Pelodiscus sinensis: one gene and its partner. The protein of the gene in region 1 interacts with the protein of each later gene in a biochemical or structural test. Links are inferred from orthologs where the notes say so. Each region holds a gene or a part of one and is shown in the gene's direction. Other genes may lie near its edges.

Region 1 (8,961 bases):
GGGAAACTGCCAACCATTTCCAGATACTATTTGTACAATAAACAAAAAAAAAATTTTTTTTCTGATTTCCAGGTGCTCCGTGTACTAAGCTACAGACACTCTCTTAGAATTTCTATCCCTAACATAGCGACCATGCTACGGAAGACATGGTGTGAGAGACAAACAGCACTGAATGCTGGAGAACTCACTTGATTCTAGGCAGTGTCACACATTGAATGACGTGTTATATCTAGAAACCAGTCTCTTTCTTTCTTTCTTCCAAATGGTCAGCTTGGTGGGTTATTTATTTGGGTCTGCTGAGTCAAACCAGTTCATTTCCAACATGGAATTGTGAGCTGTCCCCCTAAAGTCAAGCTGTGCTCTGGTAGCTTGCTGCTAAAACCAGGAAAATAAATAGATGTTTGTACTCAGCATAGTAAAAGGGCTAGACACAGAGCCTGCTGTTTGACAATGTTGAGTCAATATAACCTGAGTAAGTGCATGAGTAACTCATGTTCTCTCTATAGAACATCTGTGCTTGGGTAAATATATTTATTAATGATTAAAATGGTTTTGAGTTGTTACACACACACACACACACCTTTCCTGCCCCCACACACACTTCCCCCTCCCCCTGTCTAAAAAGATGTTATCTTTTAACCTGCATAAGTGTCAAACAGAAACAGATTCTGGCCGGGGGTAATTGTCCAAATTCAGAGGCATAGACAGGTTTTTTTTGTTGGTTGTTTTCGGACCTTCATTCCTTTCTGAACAAAGAAAAATACTACGAGCTGCATAGTGGAGATTAAAACTCCTCTATTAATAGCATTATCTGAACATATTCTTTAGGGATTCCAATTGCACTAGTAATAATGGGAATGAGCATTTCTGGAAAAAATCATCCTCAAAGCATCTCGTCAGAGGATTGTTTCCTGACAACAACAAAAATGAAATATTTACCTGATAATCTTGCAATACTACCAATATTTTGGCTTAAACTATATCAGTGTAGGAAAGTAGTCATTACAGTAAACTGGAAGTCAGGATGCTTGGCTTTTAACCCTGACAAGGCCAGTAACTATATGCTTTTGGGCAACTCACTTATTCACCTGGGGCTAAATTTTCAGATATTACTTGTTATTTTGGTTGCCTAAAATTTTGGGTGTCTAATATGAGGTCCTTTAAAAGGGTCATCTCATTTGGAAGGAGACCAGATATCGTGGTAATGAGTGGTGGTAGGAAACCCTAAAAAAGACAGATTATGGGATGGGGCTCCCCAAAAGAGAAGCATTTACATAACTCGTCAATTTTTTGGAAAATGAAGACCTCCATGCTTCAGCTTTTCCTTCTGTAAAATATGGATAATGATACTTACCTGCCTCACACTTAGGGCTTAATTAGCCAGCATTTATAAAGCCCTTGACATCCTAGAATGGAAGGTGCTAAATATAATGTAGTGTTATATTTTAGAGCATGAGTTTAGTTCTGGGGAGTTAATGATACTCTAGTATTTAAAATTTGAAAATAAAAAACCCCAAACAATCTTTTTAAAAAGAACCAATATCTGTAATGGATAGTTATGATTAGCAAGGACAATGAGTTAATGAGAAAGCACTATTTAATTCTATGCACATCTTCAGTGAACATCGCATGGTTATTGCAGTTATGTATTAATTAGTGCTCTGAAATGGGTGAAAGGGACATGAAAGGGGTGAAGGAAGCTAGCAGGTGTAGAAATGAGATTAGACAACAGAGGACATTTCTATCCAGAATACGAGTAATCCAAAATCCCCATCAGTCTCAATTATATGTTTTGTATAAGTGAAAATAACTGAAGTAACATGAGAACAGCCCAGGCACAGGGATGGCTCCCGATATTGAAAGAGAGGCACAGAATCTATTAGTATGAGCCTGCCAGGAGTCTAGTGACCAAACATCAGACCTAACTACCTGCCCCTGATCTATGCATGGTTAGGCCTCTCAATGCACAACTCACACCCTTCCCTAGTGGAAGAAGGCACCAAGATAATACATATAAGTATTATTTTATTTACCATTTGGTTTATTTAAGGTGTGCTAGAGCTTAAGCTGTACCAGAGCTGTGTCATATCAACACTACCATATGGCTCAGAGTGCTGGCAGATGACAGAGTGCAACCGTGCCAAACTCTCATCCTTTCACACCACCAGCCTTCGTAAGATACATTGTTTTCGGCCAAAAAATGCAATCTCCAACCACGACCTGCTCCTGCGATGCCACCAGGAGTTCATGACAACTATCATTATGAGAAAATGCTGGAGATGGATAGGGCACGTGATGAGAAGGGAGGCAGATGCCATTGTAAAGATAGCACTTCACTGGACGCCTGAAAGACGACGGAAACATGGGAGCCCCAAGACAACATGGCGGCGTACTGTTGAGTCAGACATGAAGAGAATGAATTACAACTGGGACACACTGGAGAAAATGGCCAAAGACAAACAAAAAATGGAGAACCTTCGTTGCTGCCCTACACACCAGCGGGCGTAATAGGCATTAACTAACAGATTATGTTTCCAAGATTTTTTTCAGAACCACAAGTGATAGAAACTTTCCTAGAGAAACAAAGATTCTTACACTTCCAAAGAACTGTGGGGACCAAGGCCTTAAGATGTACAGCAATTATTGTGACAATATACAACTACAAGAATGAAGGACACTTCAGTCCTCCTCTGATCTCAGAGATGACGCTCGATAAGTCTGTGGCTCCACACTGGGGAGTGAGCAGACAAGAAGTGGGGCTTGGAGCTACCTCATTTCCTTCCAGCTTAAGTTGAAAGAGTGATAAGACAACCCAGTCCCAGGACAATCTTACCCTTCTTCCTCTGATGGAACAATTAGGAAGAAATCTTGCTGAGATTTTCTCCACATTAGTGTTATCCTGCTGATTTTCCTGAGGGAGAAAACAATCAGCCCATTGTTAGCAACTAGTGATTATATTAAATGAGTTTGGTATGGGTTTCAGTTTATTTTCAGAGGATGGGTGCTCACATCACACACACAAAACTTCTCCAAATTGGGAAAATCTGTAGAAAGGTCAATGAAAGTGAAAGAGAGACTGAATGCCAGGGCATACATTCAGCCAATATTGGCATACAAATACCTCTTAATTCTGATCTGTTTTCATTCAAAAAAATAAATCAGTTTCTAGCTAGTAGGAGTGCACAGTAAACGTTATCAACATGCACTCGGTAACTGAGGCAGAGATCTCTATGTCAATCTGCAGAAAGCCTGCAGATTAGAACATTAGTTCTAAAACCCTGAATTTTAGTGAGGGGTAAACTCAGAGGTCTAGTGATGATAATTTGTGTCAAAATTGTTAACTATTTCATTCTACATGTAAGAGGTTGTCTATCTTGTAAAAAATTTCCATATATAGTGGTATAAGTATATAGTTAAATCAGTATAACTGTCTTGATTTAAACTCCATGTAAACATTTAGTCCAGTATCAGAGTTGCTTTTTTGCAGTGGAGGGGTTCTTTTAAACCTATCCTAAAGCAATAAAGGTACTTGTACACTGGAATGGGGGTCCATGTAGGCATTACGCTAGTTTCACTATATTAGTTTAACTTCACACCTTAACTAATATTGGTATAACTTTTCTGTGTAGAAAAGCCATCTGAAAGAAGAGAGAGGACCTCTGACCTGCACAACTGAGTGTTATCTCCATAGGGTACCTAATGCAAATAAACCAAGCACAAGATGCCCAATGGAGCTCAAAGAATATGCACAATTATAATTTGAACACCTGCACAATCTACTGTGAGCAGCAACTCACAGGTGCAGAGTTTATTTTGTGGGTGCAGATGGAAGAGGTATACTACCCCAACCCGATCCCTACTAAGCTCTCATTCCTAAGTCTTCTTGGATAGGATTCAGGAACATTATCAGAGCAGTGTCAGGGAATTCTGCTGCCTGTGCTATACCTGCCCTGGGAATGAGTAGAAGATTTCAAGCTTGGGGGATGTCAGCTTTTCTTGAGCACATTAAATAAAGAGCAGCTCAGTGCAAACACATCTCCATTGCAACAGAGGGAATTAAAACAACAAGCAGTGCATGGCGCCAGTGACTGAAATACAGTGGGATTGGTAGAGATCCCCCCACCCTTACATACTTGAAATATTTGTCCACTTAATTTATCCCTGACCCCCAACTCCAGACAGTCTGACCTCTCTTCTTTGTTATCCTTTCTTGTACAACTTCTTTATGGGGAGTGCAATACTTCAAGAGCACTGAGAGTTAACCTATTTTGACTGTGGGAAGTGGGGGGGGGGAGAGGGAAGACTGGATAGGAGTGGGTCGGCAAAAATGAATGTTGTTTGGTTATTTTTACTTATGGTTGCAATCTTGCTTTATGTCCGGACGAGAAAAAGTTCTTATCTCCCTTTCAGTCCCATATTCTGATTAGAAACACGACCCCCCCCCCCACACACAAACACAAGAGTTATTTGTTAGAAGAGCTGCTATCAAGGAACAAGGGCTGTCTCTTTGTGTGGTTGGCTGGTGCGACGTTTGCCTTCCAGCTTTTGGAAAATATCTTTAACTTAATCATATTCACATGACAAACCCTAAATTAAAAAAAAACACACATCATGAGTAATGCAGAAAGGAGAGAAGCGAAAGAGAGGAGAAGTCTGAGAGCGGCGGATCGCTTCACAGGCAGAGCGGAGCTGTCAGAGAGAGAGAGAGAGAGGGGGGAGGGTGCTGCTTTTTGCAAAGACGAGATCGGGAGTTTAACCCCATCCGATCTCCGCGCTGGCGAGAAGAGAGAGAGAGAGAGGAAGGTCCAGTAACCAGGCAAAGGCTGCGATTGCAACAAAAGCTCCGGACTTCCCTCCTGGCGTCACTCAGTGCTGAGGCGTGTTGGCTTCGCAGGAAGCAGGTTTTCCTCCCCTGGCTTTGCAAAGCCCCCTTTCCCGTGGAGCCTCATGCACTCTGCAGAGCAGCAGCCCAGGCGGCAGGATGACTCCCGGGGAGAGAGGCGCTAAGGTGCTAACCCCCCTCCTGCTGCTGCTGGCCCTCCTCGCCAGCCCCAACGCCGGCCTGGAGGTGCAGCACAAGTTCCTCTCGCCCACGTTGACCAACAACTTCGCTCTGGACGGGCCGGGCAGCAAGATCTACCTGGCGGCTGTCAACCGGCTCTACCAGCTCTCCGGCCCCAACCTGACGCTGGAGGTGGAGGAGCAGGTGGGCCCGGTGCCGGATAACCCCCTGTGCCACGCACCCCAGCTGCCGCAGGCCTCCTGCGAGCACCCCAGGCGGCTGACCAACAACTACAACAAGATCCTGCAGCCGGACCCGGAGCAGGGCATCGTGGTGGTGTGCGGCTCCATCTACCAGGGCTTCTGCCAGCTGCGCAGCATGGCCAACATCTCCGCCGTGGCCGTGAGCTTCCCGCCGGGCAGCGCCAGCGGCGGCGGGGAGCCGGTGACCGTCTTCCCCAGCATGCTCAACGTGGCGGCCAACCACCCCAACGCCTCCACCGTGGGGCTGGTGCTGCGGCCGGCGGCGGGGAGGCGGGACACGCGGCTGCTGGTGGGGGCGACCTACACGGGCTTCGGCAGCCCCTTCTTCCCGCGCAACCAGAGCCTGGAGGACCATCGCTTCGAGAACACGCCCGAGATCGCCATCCGCGCCCTCAACGCCCGCGGCGACCTGGCCAAGCTCTTCACCTTCGACCTCAACCCCTCAGACGACAACATCTTCAAGATCAAGCAGGGCCACAAGGCCCGCCACAAGCTGAGCTTCGTGCGCGCCTTCCTGCACCCCGCCCCGCCGCTGAGGGGCGCCGCCTACGCCTACCTGGCCCTCAACAGCGAGGCCAACGCCGGCGACAAGGAGAGCCACTCGCACAGCCTGCTGGCCCGCATCTGCCTGGCCGAGCCGGGCCGCAACGCCAGCGCCGGCGAAGCCAAGAAGCTGACCGAGTCCTACATCCAGCTGGGGCTGCAGTGCGGGCCCGGCGGCGGCAGCGGCTTCACCCGCCTGCTCTCCGTCTTCCCCGCCGCCGCCGCCCTGCAGCTGGCGCCCGCCGGCGGGGAAGGGGCCCGGCCGCAGGAGCTGCTCTTCGGGGTCTTCGAGGGCGCCGCCCCGCCCGGGGCCCGCCACAACTCGGCGCTCTGCGCCTTCCGCTTCGCCGACATCGAGCGGCGCATCCGGCAGGCCCGGCACTCGTGCTTCGTGGAGCCCGACTCCGGGCGGGTGGACGTGCTGGACAGCGTGGTGCAGGGCACCGGGCCGGCCTGCGAGAAGAGGAACATCCAGGTAGGCGGCGGGGGGCTGGGATCGGGCCCCCCCCTGGGCAGCCTTGTGGTGGGAGGGAGGCAGCTCTGGAGACGCGCCTGTCGTTAGTGGGGACCCCGCTGCCCCGCTCAGGGGAGCTTCAGCATCCTCGCTGATATTGGATCTCAGGAGTGGGGATTCCTCCTCTGGGATGGGGAGCGAGACTCCTGGGATGTTGCAGTTGCCCACCCTCGTGGGGACCCAGGTAACAGCGGAGTCCAGGAGAGCAGAGTCCCAACATTAGGAGAACCACTGAGAAAGTTCGGAAGGTGCCCCAGATAAGGCCGCAGCTTAGTTTTCTAGGATGGTGGGACACCTCTTCTGTAGAGGGTGAGAAACTGGAAGGTTCCCTTTCAAGGGCCGTGGCGCAGGGAGCAGATATGTCCCTGTGGAAGATCAGAGTGCAGAGTTGGGGAATCCCTACTGGGGAGAGCCCCTAATTCTGATAAAAGTGCAGCTCAAGAGAGCAGATTTTGAGGCAGAAGGGGTGTGGTTCAAGGCACTATAACCCCCTGTCGGTGGAAAAAAGTTAGGTAATCCATGTGATACTACACTACAGTGAGATGATTTTATCCTAGGGAAACCACCTGCTGGCAGAAACCCAGCTGTTTAGTAGATGAGAGACTGTAAAAGGCAACCTAGAGCTCTGCAGGACAGGGCTCAGCACACCCCAAACAGACAGTGTGGTGAGCCCCTGCTGATATCCAGCAGTGCATAGACTGGAATGCTTGGCTGAGACTGGATTCTCCATGGTCCCAATCTTGAAGTTATTACTCAGGCAAAACACTTTTAAAATCATTGTAAGGACTTTAGAATTGGGTCTCATGTTTGGATTAATAACCGTGAACCTTCTTGACTAGCTGAGTAAGTGATAACAATCCATCAGGTTGAAGTCTGGTGGGATTTGAGAATCATGGAAGTGAGAGGCGGAAAAGATTTATTAGTTTGTCCATTGGAATTGTTCTCTTCAGTCCATTCTCCGGTGCTTTGTCTAATCCAGTGTAAACATCGAAAGTGATACAGCTTTCACATATCTGTGTATCTGACATAAGCATTGTCGTATAAATGCAAATTAGAGATGGGATTCAGTCAGAAGCCTGCATGTGAGAACCACTGGACTTTGGGTTGGTGGTGCTTGGAATCAGAACCAAAAGCCTGACCGGAATGTTATAACTAGTCTCAGGCCCATACGCATTTCTGTGGGGGTATGTGCTTTTTTTGTAAATGTGGACCACAAGGGTGTAAATGCACCCCAATGGTCCCCCACATAAGCTGGGAAATCAGCCCCAGCCTTCCCTCAGCTGGTCAAAGCATGGCTGTGGGAGGCTCAGACAGCTCACTGCTCCTGCGGAGTATACTTACTTAGGGGACCATGGGGGGTGCTTTCGCACCCTTTGCACTCGCCCTGTGTACAGGCCTGAGTCTCTGTGGGTGTGAACTTGCACACTGTACCCCATTAAAATCTGTTGCAAATCTCCATAGACTTCAGTGATGCATATCAGGCTCTAATGGTCTATCCCAGACCTTAGCACCTGAATCCCTGTCAGACTTTGGATTTGGGTGATGGTTGAGAAAGAGTATGTCAGCAGCCAAACCCAGACCTCTCTCAGAGGTTTACAGTAGTATGAAGCCAAACTTCTGCCCTGGATTGAAGTGGGTGTTAGAATTTGTATGTGGATTCTGCATTCCCAGGACTGTCTCTGTTCAAATCCATCTCATAGCCTCCTCTGATCCATCACTATGAGTGATTCTGGTTTATGTACACAATTTAGAAAATTGAGGAAGACATGCTGAGTACAATAAGCTCCTTTTTGGCAATGATTTACATTAATTCAGTATCCATGTGTAAATTTAGGTTCATTGTGACAATCAATTGGATTCCTACGTGGCTTACTATGAAGTCAAACATGCAGTGGTTTTTGCATACATACAACCACCCCCTCTTTTATCAAGGACCATCTTTATTCCCACGTTCCCTGTCCCCAGTGAACTAGTGGTGACTCACAGACTTTATTTTTCTCTTTCTTTTCATTTGTTGCTCTCTGTACAGACATGGAGGAAAGGCAGCTCTAAGAATGTGTGTTCAGTTGTAGCTGTTCTCTTCCCACGTCCCTCTGTATATTTCTGCAGCAGGACAGTGCAGGATGTGTACAGTACATAGAGAGGGAACACAGGCTGAATTGTTTCATTGCATTTGGTGTGCAAGTTTACCATTGTCACAAATTGTTACTAAGTGGACATGAATGTTAATAGAAGCAAGGTGGGAGGGCAATATCTTTTATTGAACTAAGAGACAAACAAGAGTGCAAGAGACAAGCTTTTGAGCTTTACAAAACTCAGGTTGGAAATTATCACTCGTGCCCACTTTATTTTAAGTGGTTTCTGGCAACATATGTTTACTGGATGTTTAACAATTTGTCCCATCTTGTAGTTAGCTGGTTACATTTTCCAGATCTGAATATGAGCTCTCTGAAGTTTGAAAACATTTCACTCCCATCAACAAAATTTGGTCCATTAAAATATATTACCTCATCTGCCGTGTATCCACGTATCCTGGGATCAACATGGCTACAAAGACACTGAAATATAAATTTTTATGCCGGATAAAGATGCCTATTTTCCCCTTTAGCAAAAGTCACAAATTATTAAACAACAGAGCT
Region 2 (9,384 bases), on another chromosome or scaffold:
CAGTCGATCAAGAGGCGTTCAGCCCCCCCCCCTTTCTTCCCATTCCCAAGAAGCCCCACTACCTACCTCCAGCAACAATGGAGGTAGTGCTGGCTTCCTGTGGGGTGGAAGGAAGTCTGGCAGCTGTGCGCCACTTCCGGGGTTTCAGGAAGTACGCTGGCTGCTCCTCCTCCCGCGAACAGCCAGCATGGTACCACGACCCAGGTCTCTGGCATGCCGGGGAATTGCTGGGGGCGGGTAGGAGTCCCCGAAGCTGGCATGCACTGGGGCTTCCCTCCTCTGCAGAGCGGGGGAGTTCCCGGAGGAGGCGCGCACTGGAGTTTCCCTCCTCAGCGGGGTGGGGAGGAGTCCCAGGAAGAGCCACGTGCCAGGACTTCCCTACTCTGCGAGGGGGGGGGAGTCCTTGGAGGAGGTGCGCACTGGAGATTCCCTCCTCTGCGGCATGCACCGGGATTTCCCTCCTCTGCAAGAGGGGGAGTCCCTGGAGGAGGCATGCGCAAGGGCTTCTCACCTATGGGGGAGGGAGGGAGTCCTTGGAGGAGGCATGCACCAGAGCTTCCCTCCTCTGCAGGTGGGGGAGGGGATAGGAGTCCCCAGAGGAGGTGTACATTGGAGCTTCCCTATGCAAGGGGGTAGGACTCCCGGGGGGGAGGCACATGCGGGGGACTCCCTATCCCCTGTCCCTACCAACACTCTGCTCCCATCAGCATCCTGTCCCCTGCCCCCACTAGAGCCCTGTCCCCACCCCAACACCCTGTCCCCTGCCCCAGCACCCACTAGCACCCTTCCCCAGTACCATGTCCCCTGCTCCCACCAGCAAGGTTGGGGCCACATTAGTGAGGCTTGGGATGGGGGGCTGGCGGAGTTATTTTTTTGCATCTCACTTGTGTGGCCCCAACTGACTTTTCTATGGGTCAGTGACCCCTGACTCAAAACAGGTTCCCTGCCCTTCTCAGAAATAAAGACAACGCTGAAACTTTTTGTGTTTGATATAATATTTTGTTTAAAAATGAAGCCTGGCCAACCAACCCCCCATCTGGCCGCAGCATCATAACACTCCTGCACCCCACCCCCAGGCCCTAGATCTATGCTGGAACACCCTGTCCTGAGCCTCTCACACCCCAAAATTCCTGTACCCCACATCCTCTGTCTTCTGCCACAACACTCCTGCACCATCCACACACCTGAAATCTGTGTCCTGAGCCCATCGTACTCCCAACCTCCCTGCCCTGAGCTCCTCATATCCCCCAACCCAAACTCCTGCACCCTCACATCCACAAGCCTGTGGCTTGCTCAGTACCCCAACCCTCCACCTGACCCCAACACTCCCCAGCCTGGAGCCCCCTCCCTGAGCCAGCATCCCCTTCTCCACCTTCTCCTGCATCCAAATTCCCTCCCAGAGCTTGCACCTCTCACCCCTTCAAAAACAACGAGCAGTCCTATGGCTCCTTAGAAACTAACACCAGACAGATCAAGACAGCCCAGCATGGTCCATCCTATCCATTTGCCCTGTCATGCTCCATGGCTTTTGTTTTCCTATGTGGTACTGTCTGAGGAAGCTCACTGCATATCCATCCTCCATCCTTACTGGAAGCCGGGGGAAGGGGGCATTGGCAGCTCAGAGTAAAATTGGCCTGGAGTTATCCAGTCAATTCTGTGTTGGCAAAGTATTGCCAACACTCAAATACAGCCACCCCAATCTCCGTATCTATGGATCTTATTGTCCTAGGGACACTACCACTGGCCAAGATTTGTACCCACTACCCCACCCATCCTCTGCCCCACCTCCTCCCTTTAGCGTCACCCACCTTGGTCCATTGTGTTGGGTGCTGGTCTCTGGTCTACAGCCCATCCTGGCTTTGTCACTGTTAAAGTTTGGTGGCTGGGGGTGGATTTAGCAAGGCCTTGTACTGTTAAGTGGAAACACAACTGTGTTTGCGTTTCAAAATCAATACAACAGCGAACCTACCCAGCCTGCATCCTCTTGTTATGTCAACCACTTTTTATAACGCATGGAGCACCTCTTACAACCATGCATAAAGTGGGCAGTGGCACATAATCACTTAAGCACCCCATCTTTGCTTTCTTTTCAATGGCTATCGGGCAGTGTTTCTTTCTTCTTTTTTTTTTCTCAACAGCTTTCCGCTGGACCTTTTTTTTTTTTCCTCAACAAAAAATCCTTAGTGTTCCTAATTAAAAAAAAATATTATGTGGTGTTCCTTGGTCTTAAAAAATTTAAGAAACATTGCTATAGTGTGTGTCTACGGTGCAACATTTTTCTGGAAAAATGGCTGTTGTTCCAGAAAAACAATATCTGTGTCCACACTGCCATTGAGTCCTTTTGACAGACAGCCCAAAGAACGGAGGGGGTTTTCTGACGATGGTAAACCTCTTTCTATGAGGAAGAAGTCTTTTTCTAAAAAACCTTTTTTAGAAAAAGACGGTTCGGGATGAAGAAGAGGGAGTTCTTTTGAAAGAAGAGGTCTCCAGGGAATAACACAGGTGCCCTGGTGGCCACTCCATCCATACTAATCACAACTTAAATGCGAGATTGCGTCCAATCAATATGGATGCTATCTTTTGAAAAAGCAGATCGCTTTTGCTGTGTAGACACTCTCTTTCAAAATAAGCGTTTCCGGAAGCTCTCTTCCAGAAAAGCTTCTTCTGAAAGAATCTTGCAGTCTACCAACTTCTGCACCCCCGTAGTGGCACGAACAGACTCCACCAGCCAGTAGAATTGAGGGAGTTTATTGCTTCTCCAGGGTACAGCACAGCACAGATGTAATCTAGTCACAGTAACCAGGGCTAGGAGGCCTCAGCCCCCCTTGAGATGGGGAGACCGGGCCCCTACAAATCTAGCCCCCTCCCTAGACATAGCCATAAACAGCCCAGTTGCCCACAGATGTAAGTTACTACCAGCAATCACATTTATTCCTAAGGTGAAAGCGTCACAGAAAAAACAAGATTAAAAACGTACTTAGGTGCATATGAACTTACCCAACTCCAACAGGGGCTCCGGCAGGAAAACAATCCTTTAGACCTCACCCAGGGGTTTCCCTGGTTCATAACCTCTTTTGTTCAGAACAAGCACAGCCCTGAATGCCCTGGGGAATCGCTGCTTTGTATGGCCGGGGCCTTTGACCTTGACAAATGAATGTACTTCAGGATGTAGCGTTGGATAACTGGCACCGGAGAGAGGAGTAAATACATTTGAATCTACCTCCTGCTCTTACTCTATTTAAATATAGTTCAGCAGGGTTTGTCCCCGAAATTGCCATTTCTGTGGCATGATCTTTTCTGTGGATTGCAAAACTGCATGGGTTTCAATTAGGGATGTAGAAAGTTCTTTCTAAAAAGCCTAGTGGTTAAACCCTAGCGGTTAAATTCTAACGCTGAAATACGTTTCATATGGCAGAGCCTTCCTGGAAGCCTCCCCTGGAGCAGGGCTGGCATTTCTCAGACACTTAGGTTAGGGTTAAGAAGAAATAGCCTCTGTGGGCAGATTATCCTATAGTTGTCCACTAGGGGGCGATCTTGAACCTTCCACTGATACAATGAATAGAAGTTAAGGCTCATAGAATCATAGAATACTAGGACTGGAAGGGACCTCGATAGGTCATCGAGTCCAGTCCCCTGCCCTCATGGCAGGACCAAGTACTGTCTAGACCATCCCTGATAGACAATTATCTAACCTACTCTTAAATATCTCCAGAGATGGAGATTCCACAACCTCCCTGGGCAATTTATTCCAGTGTTTGACCACCCTGACAGTTAGGAACTTTTTCCTAATGTCCAACCTAAACCTCCCTTGCTGCAGTTTAAGCCCATTGCTTCTTGTTCTATCCTCAGAGGCCAAGATGAACAAGTTTTTTCCTTCCTCCTTATGACACCCTTTTAGATACCTGAAAACGGCTATCATGTCCCCTCTCAATCTTCTCTTTTCTAAACTAAACAAACCCAATTCTTGCAGCCTTCTTTCATAGGTCATTTTCTCTAGACCTTTAATCATTCTTGTTGCTCTTCTCTGGACCCTCTCCAATTTCTCCACATCCTTCTTGAAATGCGATGCCCAGAACTGGACACAATACTCCAACTGAGGCCTAACCAGCACAGAGTAGAGCAGAAGAATGACTTCTCGTGTCTTGCTCACAACACACCTGTTAATGCATCCCAGGATCATGTTTGCTTTTTTTTGCAACAGCATCATATAGAAGGGACCTCAAGAGATTGTGTCCTAGGAAGGAGTCCTACGTTTCTGTTCAATTTCCAGCCAGGGAAACATCCCTTGACTTTTGATTTGAGTAAAGGACTTGGCTAATTTTTATTTGTACTGATTCTTTCATCTCTGCCTCGGTGCCACGAGTTTAAACTGCGCAGCAAGCAGAAGGGGCGAATTCCTAGCAGATACATTTTCTAAAATGATTTTACAGCTATTTGAACAAACTCCCAAGATTACCAACCCATTGCACGTTCCATGCAGAAATGGGCGAGCCCCCGGCCTGTTTGGTTTGGTAGCCATTTAAAAAAGAATCAGATGAGGCAAGAGTTTAGAGGGGGCCCAAAATGAGCAAGTGAACTGAAACGTGGGCAAACCAACTGTATCGGGGGAGAGGCTGAAATGTTTAGTTTCAACCCAATTGAAACGTTTGGTTTGGATTTTCATGCTTTTGGGCACATGGTTAATGAACCGGCAGGACACCTGGAGGCAGAAAGGAGTTTCAAACCAGCAACAAAAATAAACATTCTGTTCTATTGCACGACTGCAGCATGAAACGAGCAGCCTTGGTTAAACAGATTCCTACCCTGGTGGAAACTTGGCGGCAGGCGCGTAGGCAGCGATGCTGCTAGTATGGGCTTGCTTTGCTTTTCCAATGTATCCTAAGGGACCCTCCACGTAGTATTCCTGCTCTGGCTTGTTTTGCAAAAGCTGCAGTGGGTCCCTGCAATACGTCGGCTGCTTGTAGGGTTCCCAAGAGAAGTAAGTCTCCTGCGGGGGAGTTCATGGGCTTTTTTGGAAACACAGCGAGAAACCGAAATGCTATAGCCAGAGGTCCAGGCTCAGAGAAGTCGGGAGCTGTGCAAAAAGTGAAGGCTTAGGCCCTGGCACGGAAGGGATACATTGTCAGAGATGCTGTATAAAGGTCAGAGGTCTAGCATGACTTATGGATCCACGACAGCCTCTACACAAGGATCCCACCATCTCTATGCCACGGGGCTCTGCAATGACATGTGGGATCAAGCTGGGAGAATGGGGTCTCTCAACTTCAGGGAGCTGCCGGTTCTGTCTCTCTCTGGTTACGGTGTATTATCGCAGTGGCTCCTAACCCTAAAGCAGCCTCCCATTGCAGCCGTCCAGCAAGAGCATTTGATATTTATATCTATCGGTGCTGCATGCGGGCCGTGACCATAACGGGAGTAAGTAGCAAGCGAGACTCACGTTGCCCCAGTGCATGGGAGGGTGGAGGGTGCTGGATGACCGCGCGCCAGGTCCACGCATAGGGTAGGAGGTGGGGGGAGTTGTATGCTGCAGGACCAAAGAGGCGAGGTGTGGCCGTCATGTCTAGAGGTCTTGTTCCAGGCCCCCGTCTGAGACTCCGTCACTCTGGGCTGGGACTGTGAAGCGTGGGCCTGGATTGCCTGGGGCAGCAATCACTCACAGCAGCACGTCTAAGCCCTCCAGTGTTTCTCAAGCTGGGAAGTTGCGAAAGTGCTCGGTCCTTTGAGCTGCACAAGAGTTGAAGTACCAGGCGGTGCTCTGCTGGCAGCCGCCCACCCGCTCAAGCAGCAGCACTAATTCTCCAGCGCTAGTGCGGCCGGGGAGACCACGGGGAGAGCTGGGCAAAAAAGCAGCCGGGAAACGCTCTAGTAATCTGCTCAGCCAGCCACAGCGCCGGGGAGTTGCTGCACAGACGGTGCTGGGGCAGCTCTCCTGGACAGAGAGAAGCGAAGCAACTGGCGGAGCGACCATGCAGACAGGGGGCCAGCGGAGGAGACTGGGGCCTGCACCGCAGCAGCGTAAGTTACAAACAACGCTCTGTCTGGGCAGCTTTCCAACGCTGGAGGCCGGGAAGGGAAAGGGTGGGGAGCATAGCCATTGGTGGTCACGCTCCGGGATTTTTTGTGGTCGGATTTACAGCTGTTGCAAGAATGTTTAAGGAGGGAGTAGGAAGAAGGGACTTATGAGGCAGCTCTCCAGATGCTCCAGGGCACAAAGGAAAAGATCAGATGCCAGGCTGCCTTGGCTCCAGACCAACCCAGGTGCGCCACAGGCATGGATGCTCCAGCCCACCCAGCCAGGGTGGGGTGGGGTGCGCTCCGGCCTGGCCATAGCGACCTCCCCGCCCCTTTTAAAGGGCTATCCATTGAAACATTATATTTAACCATTTAAATGGGACTTTAAATCCTTAATGTGGGTGGAGTCAGTGTCATTCTCCCTGTTTTGCAAATGGGGAAACCGAGGCACGGAGCCAGGTGGTGACCTGCCCGCAGTGGCTGAGGGAGAAAGGAATCTTTCCCTTGCTTTGTCAAAAGTCTGTGAGATCATCAGAGGGAAGATGGAGGCTTGGAGTAAGGCAGCATCGTATGATGCAGGAGCCCTCGTCCCTGCTCCGACTCCTTGTGTGCTTGGACAGGACACCGCTACAGGTCTAGTTTCTTCTCAGTGCAGAGGGGGTGGAAATACTGACTCAGCACTGAAGACTCTGCCTGCAGGGAGGTGAAATCCACCAACGCCTGAGGGGAGCTAAGACCTGGTCTACGCCACAGGGGGAAGATTAAGTGAAGAGACGCAACTTCAGCTACATTAATTATATAGCTGGAGTCGATGTATCTTAAAACGAGTTTCTGCGCTGTCCACACAGTGGGAGGCTGACAGGAGCAAATGTTCCCATCGGCTTCCCTTACTCCTCACAAGGAGCAGGAGTACCATCACGGACAGGGGCACCCTCTGAGTTTGACTTAGCAGGTCTTCACCAGACCCACTAAATCGAGCCCCATCGATCTTCCATGTAGTGAAGACGCGGCCTGAGACATAGCGAATGGAGGCCCTGGAGGTATGTTGAGGACATAATATCATCGTTCTCCAGGCAGCAGAATAGAAAGCCCTGCTCCGTCTGTGGCTGGAACCCCAAAACGGCTCCTTTAATACCCACGGCAGCCTGGGAAGAGCTTCATTTCAGTGAGACCTGCCGGCACATTGGGTTGCTCAGGAGCTATGAGAATCCCGGTCAGAGAAGGGGACCCAACTCGGGTGCAATCCTGGGCTGTGTCTAGACTACATGCCTCTGTCGGCAGAGGCATGTAGATTAGACAGATGGGCAGAGGGAAATGAAGCTGCGATTTAAATAATCGCGGCTTCATTTAAATTTAAATGGCTGCCCCGCTCTGCCGATCAGCTGTTTGTCGGCAGAGCGGGGCAGTCTAGACGTTCCCCTGTCTACAGAAAACCCTTTTGTCGTCCGCCCCGTTATGCCTCGTGGGATGAGGTTTACCGGGGCAGTCGACAAAAGGGTTTTCTGTCGACAGGGGAACGTCTAGACTGCCCCGCTCTGCCGACAAACAGCTGATCGGCAGAGCGGGGCAGCCATTTAAATTTAAATGAAGCCGTGATTATTTAAATCGCGGCTTCATTTCCCTCTGCCCATCTGTCTAATCTACATGCCTCTGCCGACAGAGGCATGTAGTCTAGACACAGCCCTAGTTCCATTAAAATCAATGGGAGTTTTGGCTTCAGTGGAGTTGGGATTTCACTCCCAGACTTTAAAAAGACTTAGGACAGCCGCGCTTCCTCGCTGGATCCGCTGCAGGCTCCCTATGTGACCCTGATTTCTATGGGGGCCCAGTGCCTGAATACTTTTTGAGGCTCTGGGCCTGTATCTAGCTTGTCCTTTGGTTCTGCAGCTATAAACCAGGGTATGTCTATACCTGCACCCTCTTCCGATAGAGGGATGCAAATGAAGACATACAAAATTGCAAATGAAGCCAGGATCTAACTATTCCATGCTTCATTTGCATAATCATGTGATGGGGCTATTTCGAAATACAAAACACGGTGTAGATGCGGTTATTTTGGGAGAACGCCCTTCTTCCAAAATAACTGTTAAACCTCATTTTATGAGGAATAAGGGTTATTTCGGAAGAAGGGTGTCTGCCCAAAATAACCACATCTACACTGCGTTTTGTATTTCAAAATAGCGCTATTTTGAAATAGCGCCATAACGCGATTATGCAAATGAAGCGCAGGATATTTAAATCCCGGCTTCATTTGCAATTTCGAATGTCTTCATTTGCATCCCTCTATCGAAAGAGGGTGCAAGTGGAGACATACCCCCAGGGTTTCCATGGTGACTCCATGGCTAGGGGAGGAAAGCCCCCCCCAAGCCCTACCCACCAAAGCCCAATCTTCCCCTCACACACTGCGGCCTGCTGGCCGCCGCCCCGCCTCTTCTGCCCCACCCCCACCCCACAATGTGGCTGCTGGCCCTTGCCCCTTTCCTGCCCTGGGGTAGCACGCCCCAACCTCTCCTGGTCCCAGAGCTCCGGCGGGCGGTGCGGCTCCAGCCTGGAGCTCCAGCGAGCTGGCCATCAGGCATGGCACAGGCTAGGCATGGGCAGGGCCAGGTAAGGCAGTGCCTTCCCCTGCCTAGGATACCCGCCGCCCAGGAGGGGGCCTGTTTCCGCTGTGAGGTGTAACGGGCTTTGGTGCAGCGGATACCAGCGGAAGCGTGCAGTGGAGTGGAGTTCCCCGGGTGGAAAAAGCTGTACCCGCGAAGGGTCTTGGTTGTACTGCCCTCCGGCTGTCGTTGGCATGGCTGGGTCGGCAGGCGCGTGATTTGTGTCTCAGGAGCAATGCTGCCAAAATGTTGACTCCGAGAGCAGGCCCGAGGCAGTGAAGCGCTGAATTCTGGGAGCCGGCCAAGTCATGCCCTTCGTCTCCTGGGCACCTCAGCCCCCACAGCAAACCAAGCCTGTTGCCTCCGACACGCTCCCGTTCCCACGGGCCCGATTCTGGGAGCTAAATCCCGCTTTGGGCGCCAAAGGAATGAGCCCAAAACCATCTAGCCTGGTCCCGCTCGGGCTCTTTGCCCAGGAGTGGCCTGAGCTGGCGTGGGCTGCAGGGCAGGCTTGGACTGGGCTGCGCTCGGATGGCTTGGTGCCGGGACTTGGGGAGACCTGGTGCTCTGAAGCTGGGAAGGCGCAGCCAACCTTGGGCTAGGATTGGAGGCACTGCAGCCTAGGTGCCCTCTCCGTGCTCCAGGGCAGGGGTGAGAGGGCCAGAAGCAGGCGGGCAGGGAGGAGGCTCAGGTCTCTAGCAGGGAGTGACTGGAGCGAGCTAGTCTGCCTCTACTGCCAGGTTGCCCAGGGCTGGGTCTCAGGTAGGGGTTT

The links.
Region 2: the proteins of PLXND1 (region 1) and SEMA4A form a complex in vitro, tested with the Homo sapiens proteins (2 studies listed by IntAct, with this or other methods). The link is inferred for Pelodiscus sinensis from reciprocal best matches to the Homo sapiens genes PLXND1 and SEMA4A.

What each region holds. Positions count from the first base shown.
Region 1 is NC_134721.1:20,127,954-20,136,914, reverse strand, and holds the start of PLXND1 (plexin-D1), read left to right. Parts: upstream 1-4,812; 5' UTR 4,813-4,981; coding exon 4,982-6,283; intron 6,284-8,961. UniProt on the Homo sapiens protein: Cell surface receptor for SEMA4A and for class 3 semaphorins, such as SEMA3A, SEMA3C and SEMA3E. Plays an important role in cell-cell signaling, and in regulating the migration of a wide spectrum of cell types.
Region 2 is NC_134734.1:16,427,392-16,436,775, reverse strand, and holds the start of SEMA4A (semaphorin-4A), read left to right. Parts: upstream 1-5,651; 5' UTR 5,652-6,015; intron 6,016-9,384. UniProt on the Homo sapiens protein: Cell surface receptor for PLXNB1, PLXNB2, PLXNB3 and PLXND1 that plays an important role in cell-cell signaling. Regulates glutamatergic and GABAergic synapse development.